Linked DNA regions of Caenorhabditis elegans. The protein of the gene in region 1 interacts with the protein of each later gene in a pairwise test. Each region holds a gene or a part of one and is shown on either strand. Other genes may lie near its edges. The genes, in order: nfi-1 and cbp-1.

What was found.
Region 2: the proteins of nfi-1 (region 1) and cbp-1 interact in a two-hybrid assay, tested with the Caenorhabditis elegans proteins (one large-scale study listed by BioGRID).

Annotation. Positions count from the first base shown.
Region 1 is NC_003280.10:7,536,402-7,543,102, forward strand, and holds nfi-1 (Nuclear factor I family protein), read left to right. Parts: upstream 1-1,878; coding exon 1,879-1,896; intron 1,897-2,298; coding exon 2,299-2,562; intron 2,563-2,617; coding exon 2,618-2,698; intron 2,699-2,753; coding exon 2,754-2,852; intron 2,853-2,907; coding exon 2,908-3,039; intron 3,040-3,095; coding exon 3,096-3,450; intron 3,451-3,615; exon of another isoform or gene 3,616-3,636; intron 3,637-3,865; coding exon 3,866-4,124; intron 4,125-4,173; coding exon 4,174-4,469; intron 4,470-4,511; coding exon 4,512-4,649; intron 4,650-4,913; coding exon 4,914-5,046; intron 5,047-5,093; coding exon 5,094-5,380; intron 5,381-5,429; coding exon 5,430-5,577; intron 5,578-5,757; coding exon 5,758-5,857; intron 5,858-5,975; coding exon 5,976-6,137; downstream 6,138-6,701. Other genes in the region: ZK1290.13 (MARVEL domain-containing protein), read left to right, coding at 1-19, 271-525. UniProt on the Caenorhabditis elegans protein: Probable transcription factor which recognizes and binds the palindromic sequence 5'-TTGGCANNNTGCCAA-3' present in promoters. Plays a role in locomotion, pharyngeal pumping, egg-laying, and life span.
Region 2 is NC_003281.10:9,764,876-9,769,743, forward strand, and holds the start of cbp-1 (Protein cbp-1), read left to right. Parts: upstream 1-1,634; 5' UTR 1,635-1,822; coding exon 1,823-1,862; intron 1,863-1,915; coding exon 1,916-1,992; intron 1,993-2,044; coding exon 2,045-2,833; intron 2,834-3,127; coding exon 3,128-3,493; intron 3,494-3,545; coding exon 3,546-3,672; intron 3,673-3,804; coding exon 3,805-3,954; intron 3,955-4,005; coding exon 4,006-4,518; intron 4,519-4,568; coding exon 4,569-4,868. UniProt on the Caenorhabditis elegans protein: Acetyltransferase enzyme. Acetylates histones, giving a specific tag for transcriptional activation. May prevent DNA damage-induced apoptosis by inhibiting cep-1-dependent transcription activation of the programmed cell death activator egl-1.

The DNA.
Region 1 (6,701 bases):
CATTGAGCAATCTGTTCAGGTGGTGTCAATAAGGCAATTAAACAATTTGAGCTGAGTTATTCAGAAAATAGTGTAGAAAACAGAATAATACTATTTGTCAATAAATGTTAAGTTTTTGGAGAATCTTACATCAGAAAACATTTTTGTAATCAATTTTATCTGTTTGTTGAATAACTTTTTTTTGCATTAAAAAAAAATCACAAATTTTAATGAGCAGATCCAATTCAAAAAATTGTGACGTATGGCTTGTAGTTATAGAATTTCGTTTAGGATGAGACATTCGATGGGACTGAAAGTGAAATTTCAAATATTGGTGGCACCTCACCAGCATACCCTGTAGCCTATAGAAATAGGCCACCAAAACCAAAGAGAATGGCAATTCTAGAAGAAGCACAAGTTGAAGAGTATACACCGGAACCTTCTCCTGCTCCAAGAAGAACAGTTAAGAATCCAGTTCATCAATCAGATGCAAGTCTTGCATCCAAGTTTAATTCATTGTCAAGATTTGAAGAATCTGCTTTTTGATTCTAGTTATTTTTATGTTATTAGACATGGTGTCAGAATGTCCCATGTGAAGATCTACGAGAACGGCAGGAATTTAGGCGCAGCCTTTTCAACTAATTTCTCATAGTTAAGAACGTGCTGACGTCACATTTTTTAGGAAAAATCCCGCATTTTCTGTAGATCAAAGCGTAACGGGGGATCCTGACACCACGTGTTATTATTAAACTCTAATACTTGTTTGATTTGAACTGTTGAACTGACGACTTGAGCATTGTATTTAGCATGCTATAGAACTGATGTCACATGATTTTTGTTTTTTATGGAACGAGGGAGCAAACAAATGAATAAAATAAATTTCGAGGTTATCTTTTTCTGTATGTTGCAAAATGTTTTTTTACAAAACGAAATTTCTGTTTTTTCACATGTTCGCAAGAAACTTTCAGCTATTTCGAACGTTAAACTGATGTGCGATTTTTATCGATTTTTAATAGTTTTTCTCACGATTTGCTAAAAATTTTATAACAATGAAACAACATTTCTTTAAGCACAAGCCTTGAGAAAAACTATGAAAAACCGATAAATATTCCGCAACAACGGAGGTTTGAGACTACAGTACTCTTTTTTAAAGACGCGCACCATTTTGCAATAGTTAACAATATCGTTGCGAGACCTGCCGTTTTATTTAATCGATACTTTCTTCTTTGTTTTTTTGTTTATGAGTTTTCTCTTTTTCTGAACAGATCGCTTGAGATTTTTCGTTAAATTTTTTATTTGTTGATAATTAATAAATAAATTTCAAAAATTCGATAATCTTCATTTTAATTTTTAAGAATTAATTGTCATCTGTCAGTTAATCAAGATTTCGCGCGGAAAATTCCGTTTGAAATATGGCCGCTGGACTAGTATTTGTACGACCCTCTGCGCATTTTTGCTCTATAGTTAATTTACCGTAGTTTGATTCGCAGCGCATCCCAGACCACCTGTATTTTTAATATTGGCTATGAAAGAGCAAAATATGAGCAGATGAATGTGCAGAAAAATTTATAAAGTTTCCAAAAATATATTTGAATCAGAAGAAGTGTTTCTATAAGCTCAATAAAATTGATTAAACGAGAATTCATTTAATTCAAATTGTTGCCAGTGTTTATTATTATTTCGACAGAAAACTAATCTCGAAAAATATTTTACTTCTTCAATCATTTATTTTCTCATGATATTTTGCGCTCGGTGCCGCTTTTTTCTTCTTTAACGCTTGTCAATTTGTGATATCGATTTTTAAGTGTTTCAGAATGCAGATTATCTGAGCACAAGCCAGGACACCGATCGCAGCAGCATTGCGATTTTTTTCCAGCTCTGGGAGATTTTTTGAATAAAATGGAGCCGCATCTCAAGGTAATTTATTTGTTGTAAAACATTTTGCAGCAGGTTCGCTGCAAATAATTACCTCGCACACACATGCCGGTCTTCATATCGATTAATTTGACGAGTATTCGCTCGACGGGCGGTGTGATTCTATTCATTCAAAATCTTTTCGCTTGTTTCCTTATCTGCGCCTCTTTAAATTTGTGGAGTATTTTTGCTGTTGCTATGAACCAACTATCATCAAAAGGCTATCTCTTCCTATATGCAGTATTATATATGAAAATATAAACTCTTTTTGTAGATACTTTTGATTTTAAATTATACGAATGGAATCTCAGGTAAAAAAGAAAACTTGATTATTAATTTGAAATTTCAAAAAAAAAACTCGTATAAGTATATCAAACAAAGAAATAAACTCAAAATACTTTTCAGATCGATGTCAGCTCCGCCAGCGGTTCGACGACCACTGGTGCAACAGCTTCAACATCAGAAGCACCTCAAGACTCACAGGCACAGCAGACAATGCCTCCACCATCTTCTGATTGGAGTAATCAATTCAATTCTCCAGAAGCCGTGAGTCCGAAAGCCAATGGTATCAAATGCTTCAGTCCTTACTCACAGGAAGATATGGGACCATTTGTCGAACAACTTCTACCTTTTGTCAGAGCAAGTGCCTATAATTGGTTTCATCTGCAGGTAGGAATTATTGAATATAATTTTTAATTTTTCAATTTCATTCCCCTGTTTTCAGGCAGCAAAACGACGGCACTTCAAAGAATTTGATAAGAAGATGTGTGCGAGTGAAGAAAACGCGAAATTAGCAGAATTACAAGTAAAATACGAATAAATATGAACAAAAATCATAAAGAAAATTGTTTGCATTTCAGAATGATAGAGATGAATTAAAAGTGAAATGGGCTTCCAGACTTTTGGGAAAAATAAAAAAAGATATTCAAAATGACGATAAAGAAGCGTTTATTTCGGCTGTAAGTATTTCAATATTTATAATTGATTTAATATAAGGCGAAACCAATTTTTTAGATCAATGGAAGTGAGCCGAACAAGTGTATTATATCAGTTGCTGATCAGAAAGGGAAAATGCGGCGAATTGATTGCTTACGCCAAGCTGACAAAGTTTGGAGGCTTGATCTGGTTACTATTATTTTATTTAAAGTGAGTTTTTAAAAATCCTATTGCCTAATACTTCAAATAAATTTAATATTTTTCAGGGAATTCCTCTCGAGAGCACCGACGGCGAGCGTCTCGAACGATCCGAGGCATGTGTCCACCCTCTGTGCATAAATCCTTTTCATATGGCGATTAGTGTTCGCGGTCTTGACGTTTTTATGGCAAACTATCTGAAAGACGTTGACACTAAAATTACATTGACCTATCCGAGAAATGATGAACTTTCTGATACAGTGATGGTAAAGCAAGAGCCCGGTGAACAGACAATTGTAGCTCCTCATGCAGTTCTTGGCACAAGTTCTACTCATACTCGTGTCTGGGAAACGAATTCCGAACGAAATGCGGAAACAATCATTATCACTTATGATCCACAGAAAGCTTGCCATACTTATTTTGGTAAGATTAAATTATTCTAAAACTCTCTATAAGCAATGAATAAATTGAAAGCTATTGAGAATTCACCATGACATTCTGTCAGCGAAAAAATCCAATTTTATTCAAAATAAAAATATATCCATTTTGCGACGCAGATAAATCGTTTTGATTAATTTATAAATATGTTAAATTGTCAAGGGCTTTAAAATTTTGTGAAACTGTTCAAACGCGATTTTTGTGCCAAAATTTCAAACTCTCGTTGCTTAGAAATTCCCTCTCCCTCTATTTTTCATAGATTTATATTCAATTTCAATCGAAATTCCCCAGAAACAAGAGTTTGAAATTACAGTACTCCTTGAGCACACCTTTTTGCATATTATTGGCTCGAAATTGCAAATTTCCAATAAGAATTCCAAACTTTAAAATAAATTTTCAGGTGGTCGTGCTACTCTTGCCCAACAGTCTCTTTCTGCGGGAAACACGTATATGGTTAACAAAACCGCAGTCGACAACAACTTTTTCAATGCAAAAAGATCTGTTCTATGTCTACCACCTCCTCCGATTCAAAATTGTTTTCCTTATCCCATCGCGGGAACATCTGATTCTCAACAAATGGATATGTCGGAGGATTCCAACGATGGACCTTCAGAGAAACGAAGTCGGGATATATCATCGCATGATTCTCCTAATTCCAGGTAGAACTTGAAAAAATAATTAATATAAATATTTACACAGTTATTTCAGCACTAACGACGAAGTTCGGCGGATAGTGGAAAGTGGAACGGAAAAATTGGTACTCGGAAGCTCCATATGGGCAGCACCAGGCCAATTCTCTCGTACACAACAAAATCAAGGAGCTCCCGGAACGAGTCGGCAAGTGAGACCGCTTCCCGATTTTCAAAGTCAAGATTCTGCGAGGAGTCCGGGTGCATTCCGTTCAACAGCAAAACCCGTTTGTCGAATGACAGTGAATACTGGAAATCATGGCGATGTTGGAGTCGTTGTTGTTGATGAAAGAAATCGGGAGCATGTGATTCATGGTAAGCACGATAATTTTAATGAATAAAATCATATTAATTCAGCTCAACATATAGTGAATGCATTGAGCTCACTTCGAACGACACCATCGATGCGAGAAAGTCCAGTTGGCAGAAAAAGAATGCATCCGCATACGAGCAATTCATTTGAATTTTTGAATTGCAATCAGGAAATGAATAAAAGTTAGTTGTTTTTGTATACGTGACCCTCATTCTCGCGAAAATTACTAATATTTTTCAAACACGAAACTTTTTTATATTAAAAAGCTAAAAAAATATGGTACCCGGTCTATGGAAAATCTACGAAACAAACGTTCGAAATTACAGTACACTTTAAAGGCGCAAACATTTGTGTATTCCATAAATATTTGTCGTGATGAGACCTGGTATCGTAGTTTTGGAAGAATATATGTTTAGTAAAAGTTGAATTTATTTTTTTTGTTTCAGATGAAGGAGCTTTAGGAAGCGATATTTCACCGACTCACACTGCTGTTTCTAATCTAATCAGCAGAGAAAGTAGTGGATACATGGCAAGCCCAACAAAATTCACAACAGCACGCGGAGATACAACAAGCTTCAGGTTTGGCATCGTATCCCGATCATCGTTAAACAATTTTTTCTTTTCAGCAAAATTTTCCAAAAGATCGAAGAGAAACATCTGCAACATAATCAACCGAGCACGAGCTACTGTAATTCACAAATCCAACCACCAATCTTATCATCGAAACCAGTTGATTCATCAGTGAAATTAATTGCTCCAGTTGCAGTGAAACCAATTATGTCAGGATGTAATTCAATCATTCCATCACCCATCACAACTCCTCGTATAACTCCTTCATTTCGAATGCTTGAAGATGATTCATTGATTAATGTACTTGGACAACTTGCACACAGTAATGACGGAACAACTTTAAGTATGATTTTATGAACATTGAACTATCATCCCATTGCTTTTTTTTACAGACGATAGCTTCATTCAACATCTTATTGATACCAATTCTCGATCTCCATTGCTTAGTAGTGGAAATGCTTTTTCGGCATTATCAATGGGAGCTGTGAGTGGATTAGTTCCTGGTAATTCGATTCATCGTCCGGATAGTTCTGCAAGCAAGTAAGTTGAACCATATTGTTTTTTTTCTGAAAATAATGTATCAAAATAAAATGTAATTTTAAAAAAATCTTTCCAGAAATATATACTTTTTTTTAAATTGGCCAAAAGCTTGAAAATTTTATTAATTTCAAATTTCAATCTAAAATCAATGTCTTGTCTAACCAAAAAAAGTTTCTTCAGCGGATCGAATTCGTTGGGTGTAGCAATGGGATTGGCCGTTCCTCAAAATATTGCACTGGCCGTCCAGCAAACTCAAAATGCAATGTCACCTCTTCATCAAGTAAGTTGATATTTTATAAACATTTATAATCAGCAGCTTTTATAATTATTCTGAAAAACACCTTACGAAAATAATTAATCGAAAGATGTAAGCTTTTAATTGTGTAATTCATCGCCAGATTCGTGTTAGCGTTGGAGCTCCACCAGCATGCTCCCCGTCATCATCAAATTCATCTCTAGGAGCTGCAAATCAAGCACCGGTCTCAAATACTCCACAAGATCCGAATGCTCCAAAGCTGCCAACTGACTTTTCACATGCTCTTCGTAATGAGAAAAAATGATTTTGATATTCCTGTTAATCTTTTTATTCGTTTTATTTATCCCTTTCGTGTTACCAATTGAAAAATTAGAGTTATCAAACCTAGTCCTTCTTTAGTATTATTCAAACTAGTTGTTATTTTTATTATTTTCATTTTTCTTCAATCTTCAAAACATTTTCTCCGTCTGTGACGTCATAATCTATTTTTCCGAACCTCTTTTGAAAACCAAAATCCACAAAAAAATCAATTGTTTACGGGGCCACACATTTTCCCTTTTCTTTTCTTCACCGTCACCTCTTTATCTTGTAAATCTGAAAAACTTTGAAAAAACGTCGTAGCTATGCACAATTGTAATCACCACTTCCAGTTTCCCAGTGTTTTCCTTTTATGTTTTTTTTGCGTATTTGAACCTCATGTTTGCATTTCTTGTGTGGGTAGTTCAGATTATTTAATTTTTAAAACGTATTTTAATGAATCTTGAATTTTTATCAAGTCGTGAAGCACAACATAGATTCAAAAGAAATTGGAATATCATATCATCAATAAAGAAAAATGATATAGTTAGTTAGTAGCTGAAGAAAAGAA
Region 2 (4,868 bases), on another chromosome or scaffold:
CCACACTATTACAATCTTGAGGACAGCAGCACGGCGTCGTCGTCCGGAATCTCAGTCTTCATCGTCGTCAACTTCAGAAGTCTATTGGGATGACTGAGAACTACTGCCAGTCTACCACCCTCCGCCACCCTGTCGCTCCGCCTCTCTTGGTGATATCGACAGTCGGACGAGGAGGGCTATTGCCCCGCCTCTCGCACTTTTTGAACTGCCGCTCTTCCGTCCTCCTCAGTTTTTTTGCTTCTCCGGTGGTATTTGATAATTTCCTTTTAGAACATTACACTTTCGATTATTCTCTATCTATTCAAGCCACTGCCGGCTCATGAGAGTTCAATGCGAGCTCACAAACTGAACCATTAAGTGCTCAATCGTGGTTATCGATTTTTCAGAGCTTCAAGTCTGGCTCTTACTCTGGCATTACACGAAGTGATAATATACAGTATTCAACTACTAAATACTATTGCTCTACGATTTTCTATGTATTTTGCTCCTAGTAGCTCAAATTCATTATTAAATTTAACTTTTATCTTTGCAACCTCATCATTCATCTATCTGTTTCGCTCTCGTTCTCTCATCTTTCAAACTTTGTTAATAATGTTATTTTCTTCAATATCACACCAAAAATTATAATCAAAACTTTCATCTCGATCCATTAGATGCTTGTAAACGGAGCCTGTCCAAATGGCATATTCCTTCGTGTGCGTGCGTGTCGCGTGCGGTTAATGTTCTACCGTATCTCGCGAAACGCGGTTTTCGTTGCGAGACACCCACAGCATGGGGCACCCGCTGTCGGCGTTCTCTCCCGATACACACTACTTCGTGGGTGGCTGACTCGTGCTGTCTGTCGTCTCTCCCACTGACCATGTTATTTTGACGAACGGTGTTCTGCGCTTCTTCACGATCATGAACTTTTGAACGTGTCACGTGGAAAATGTTTTGCAACTTTTTAAGTCAAAATACAGTTCAGAATCGGGTCAGTAGTACCATGTGAATCGACGGGATCATCTGAGAAAGAGAAGTTAGCCTCATAAGGTTGGCTTAGCAAATATCGATCGAGCTAGATATACCTGTAAGTATCTAGAGCATTCATGTTTTTAATGGTCCCAAACACCTTTAATGCTTAAAAATACCCGAATTTCACAATATAGATGCCCGCCTTCTTCATTATGCATAGTATTTTTTAAAAATATCTCTCAAGACTGCATAACAACTTTTTTTTGTTAATCCGTATATTACTATAGTGTTTCTAATTAAAATTTGTTTTCGAAGTTTTGCAAAATTGGCTATGAATCCAATTTTAAGCTCTAAATTTATGATAGCTACAGTAACCCATTCATTGGAATTTGATGTTATTAATTCAATTTTAGCATTTAAACGCTCCTTCTCTATTATTACACGCTTAAACAACTTATACAATGGTGCAGGTAAACTTTAAAAAGTGCAACCATCCTCCGTTCATTCTATTGATTTTCCATCTCCTTCTCTCTCACTGTCTGTCTCTCTTCAATTCGCCTCCTCTTTTCATAAGTGCTCTCGCTCTCTAACCACCCTCCACTCATTACTTCACCGATGTTCTTCTCACTCTTCCTCCTCCCTCCTCCGTTCACCGACAAAAATCCATATATCCATTTCATTTTTTTCAGAAACAAACAGCTATATCTGGTGATTTTGCCAAACTAACCCAAATAAGCGGGAACTCTGATGAAGTAGTGGTTGACGTGGGAATTCAAAAACCGACGGACGCAACCAATTCAGGTGTTCCGAGAAGTAGAAAGAGTTCACTTGGTTCGAATTTTGTCAAATATATACATTTTTCTACTAATTGATGGATGAACCACCATCAAAAAAATCTCGCGCTGATAGCGGTAAGTTGCTAGGAAAGTTAAGATGCTACGGTATGATCCTTTAAACTTTTCAGACTATGATTCTGGGTTAGATGCGCTAAGTGCTCTCGAAAGTCTCGAAGCATTCCCAACTTCTAGTAAAGATACAGATGTAAGTTTTTTTGTTTGAATTAACACTCTGTTTTATAAAAATTGTTGTTCAGGTAGACAATAATCCAAGCACATCAGCTGGAGGATCCGGTGGTCCTTCTGGCTCGACACCTCATCCACAAGGCACTCCACAACCAGCACCATCAAACAATGGCGGGTTCAATCTACAACCAGGACAGTCGCAACCTCAGCAGCCGCCACAGAATATGGGAGGAGGTGTCAATGGATCAGTGCTTCAAGAACTTCTAATGAATCCATCACAAACGTCGAACAATTCACCTCGGCCGCAGGCATATCCGCCTGGACAGCAAAATGCATTTAATAGGAGTCCAATGATGCCAAATGGTACACCGAATATGATGTCACCTCCATCTATGGGTCGAGTGCCGGGGCCCAGTCCTGGAGGTCCACAACCACCAGGCCCAGGCCAACCACAAATGCGACCAGGCCAACCAGGAATGTTCCAAGGAGATCAGCAACAGCAAATGATGATGGGTGCACAAGGACAACAATTCCCAGGAATGATGCATCGATATCCGTACGCACAAGGTGGTCCTCCACCAGGAGCCCAGGGAATGCCTCAAGGATATCCAGGAGTTAGTCGGGGCGGACCAACTCCTGGACAACCCATGGGACGTGGTGCTATGATGAATGGAGCAATGCCAAGAAGTGGACCAATGCCGACACAAGGAAGACCTGGAATACCTCCAAACCAACAAGCAATGATGCAGCCAATGATGACTGATCGGCAGTTTATGCAACACGGACAATATGGTCAGCAGCGACCAGAATTTATGCAACAATATGGTCGTCCCGGTGGATATCCAATGATGCATCAAGGGGTAAGTAGAAACTATTTCCTGATTTCTATTTCATTTTGGTTTGATCTTTAAAAAATGCGGGAATTTTTTTTGTTTTTAACCTAGAAAATTGGTAAGATCAGCATGATCTTAACTGTGCGATTCTGACAATTTTTGAAGATCAAACAAAAATGGAACACTTATTAGCTTGACGTGAATTTGGCCAAATCAAAATCGATGTGTAATTGAAACTTAAGTTTCCAATAATTCCCTAATCTTCCACAAATATTGGTTGGAAGTTGCTTGGAATCATAACAATAATCTTCTACATTTCAGATGATGATGGACAGTAATGGTCAACCGATTCGAGGCCCGAATCAAATGATGATGATGAGCAATGGGCATCCAGGAATGTCACACGGTCCTCCAAATGGTCAACCTGGACCACAAGCTGCTGCAGCACAACACGCTGCTCAACAGCAAGCTGCTGCACAAGCTCAAGCTCAGGCGGCTGCACAACAACAACAGCAGCAACAACGAGAGCAAGAAGCTGCGGCGGCAGCTCAACGAAATGGTGCTGGAAGGGCGACAACTCCTGGATCAAGCATGCTTGCAACGCATCAAGATCCCGAGAAGCGGAAGCTTATTCAGCAACAACTTGTTCTATTACTTCATGCACACAAATGTTCTCAACGTGAGAAGGTATGTTATACAGTATGTTCTGGTTTCCTTCATACATCATCAGCTTTTACAGGAAAATCGTGATTTCGCTGCGAAGAATCAACCACCTCCACATGCTGCCTGTACATTACCCCATTGCTCAACGATGAAAGAAGTATTGACACACATGACAAGCTGCAATGTTGGTCGTTTATGTCATTGTAAGTATATTACCCGTCGTGTCGCTTCTTTTTCTCTATCTGGAAAGAGTTTCGAACATTTTCGCAAGAAGAAGCGCCTATTCCCACCCAAAATTTCGCTTCACTCTAGCCACTGTTTGAAATCTCTTTCAGCCGATACCACACAAACTACAAAAAAATGTTCAGTCGCTCATTGTGCATCGTCTCGCCAAATAATAGCTCACTGGAAAAACTGCTCAAGGGAAGATTGTCCTGTCTGCAAACCACTCAAAAGGATACAAGATACTCCATTACAATTTTCATGTACGTTCTATCCTACTCAAGAACATTTTTTAAATATTTGATTATTTTCAGTGCCCGATCTTGCAAATCTAATAGGAGTCAACGGGAATTCGAACGGAAGCGCAGAAGGTGATGGACTTCATCAGTTTGGATCGCCAGCGATGCGAACTGGAAATATTACAAATTCTCTATTCGAAGGATTCAATGGCAATCCATTCCAAAACGGACCAAATCGTGGAGGACCGAGACCACCTGGTGGAAATGGAGAAATTCCAAACTTGCCACCACCAGATATGCCAGATTGTACGAAAGAATGGCATCATCAAGTCACAAAAGATCTCAGAAATCACCTTGTCGGAAAATTGGTTAAAGCGATTTTCCCGGAACCGAATCAGGAAGCGATGAATGATAATCGGTTAAAAGATTTGATAGCCTATGCCAGAAAAGTCGAAAAAGAGATGTTTGAATCTGCAAATGACAGAGAAGAGTATTATCATTTGTTGGCTGAGAAAATTTACAAGATACAAAAAGAGCTTCAAGAGAAAAAGAATTCAAGACTCAATCAAGGAGCTGCTGCACATGATCGTAAGTTTTTTTTTTTTAAAATTTCACCCTTTAACCAATTTTCATTTCAGAATACGCAATTCCACCGTCGAACGAGCTCGCTCAGATGCTTGGTGTGGAAGGTGGACGTAGTGATGTTCATTCTGAAGGAAGTAGTATGGCAGTTGCACCAAGTCAACAAAATCAACCATGGGGAGGTGCTCCGAATTCCAACATGCATCAGCAGATTCCTCCGAATGGACAAGTTCCACAGGTCAATAATTCTTCGACATTCCCGTCAAGTGGTAACAGCACTCCAAACATCGGAGCTTCATCTACTGTCAGTGCTATGCTGCAACCGAAAACTGAACCCATGGACGATCAGAATACAG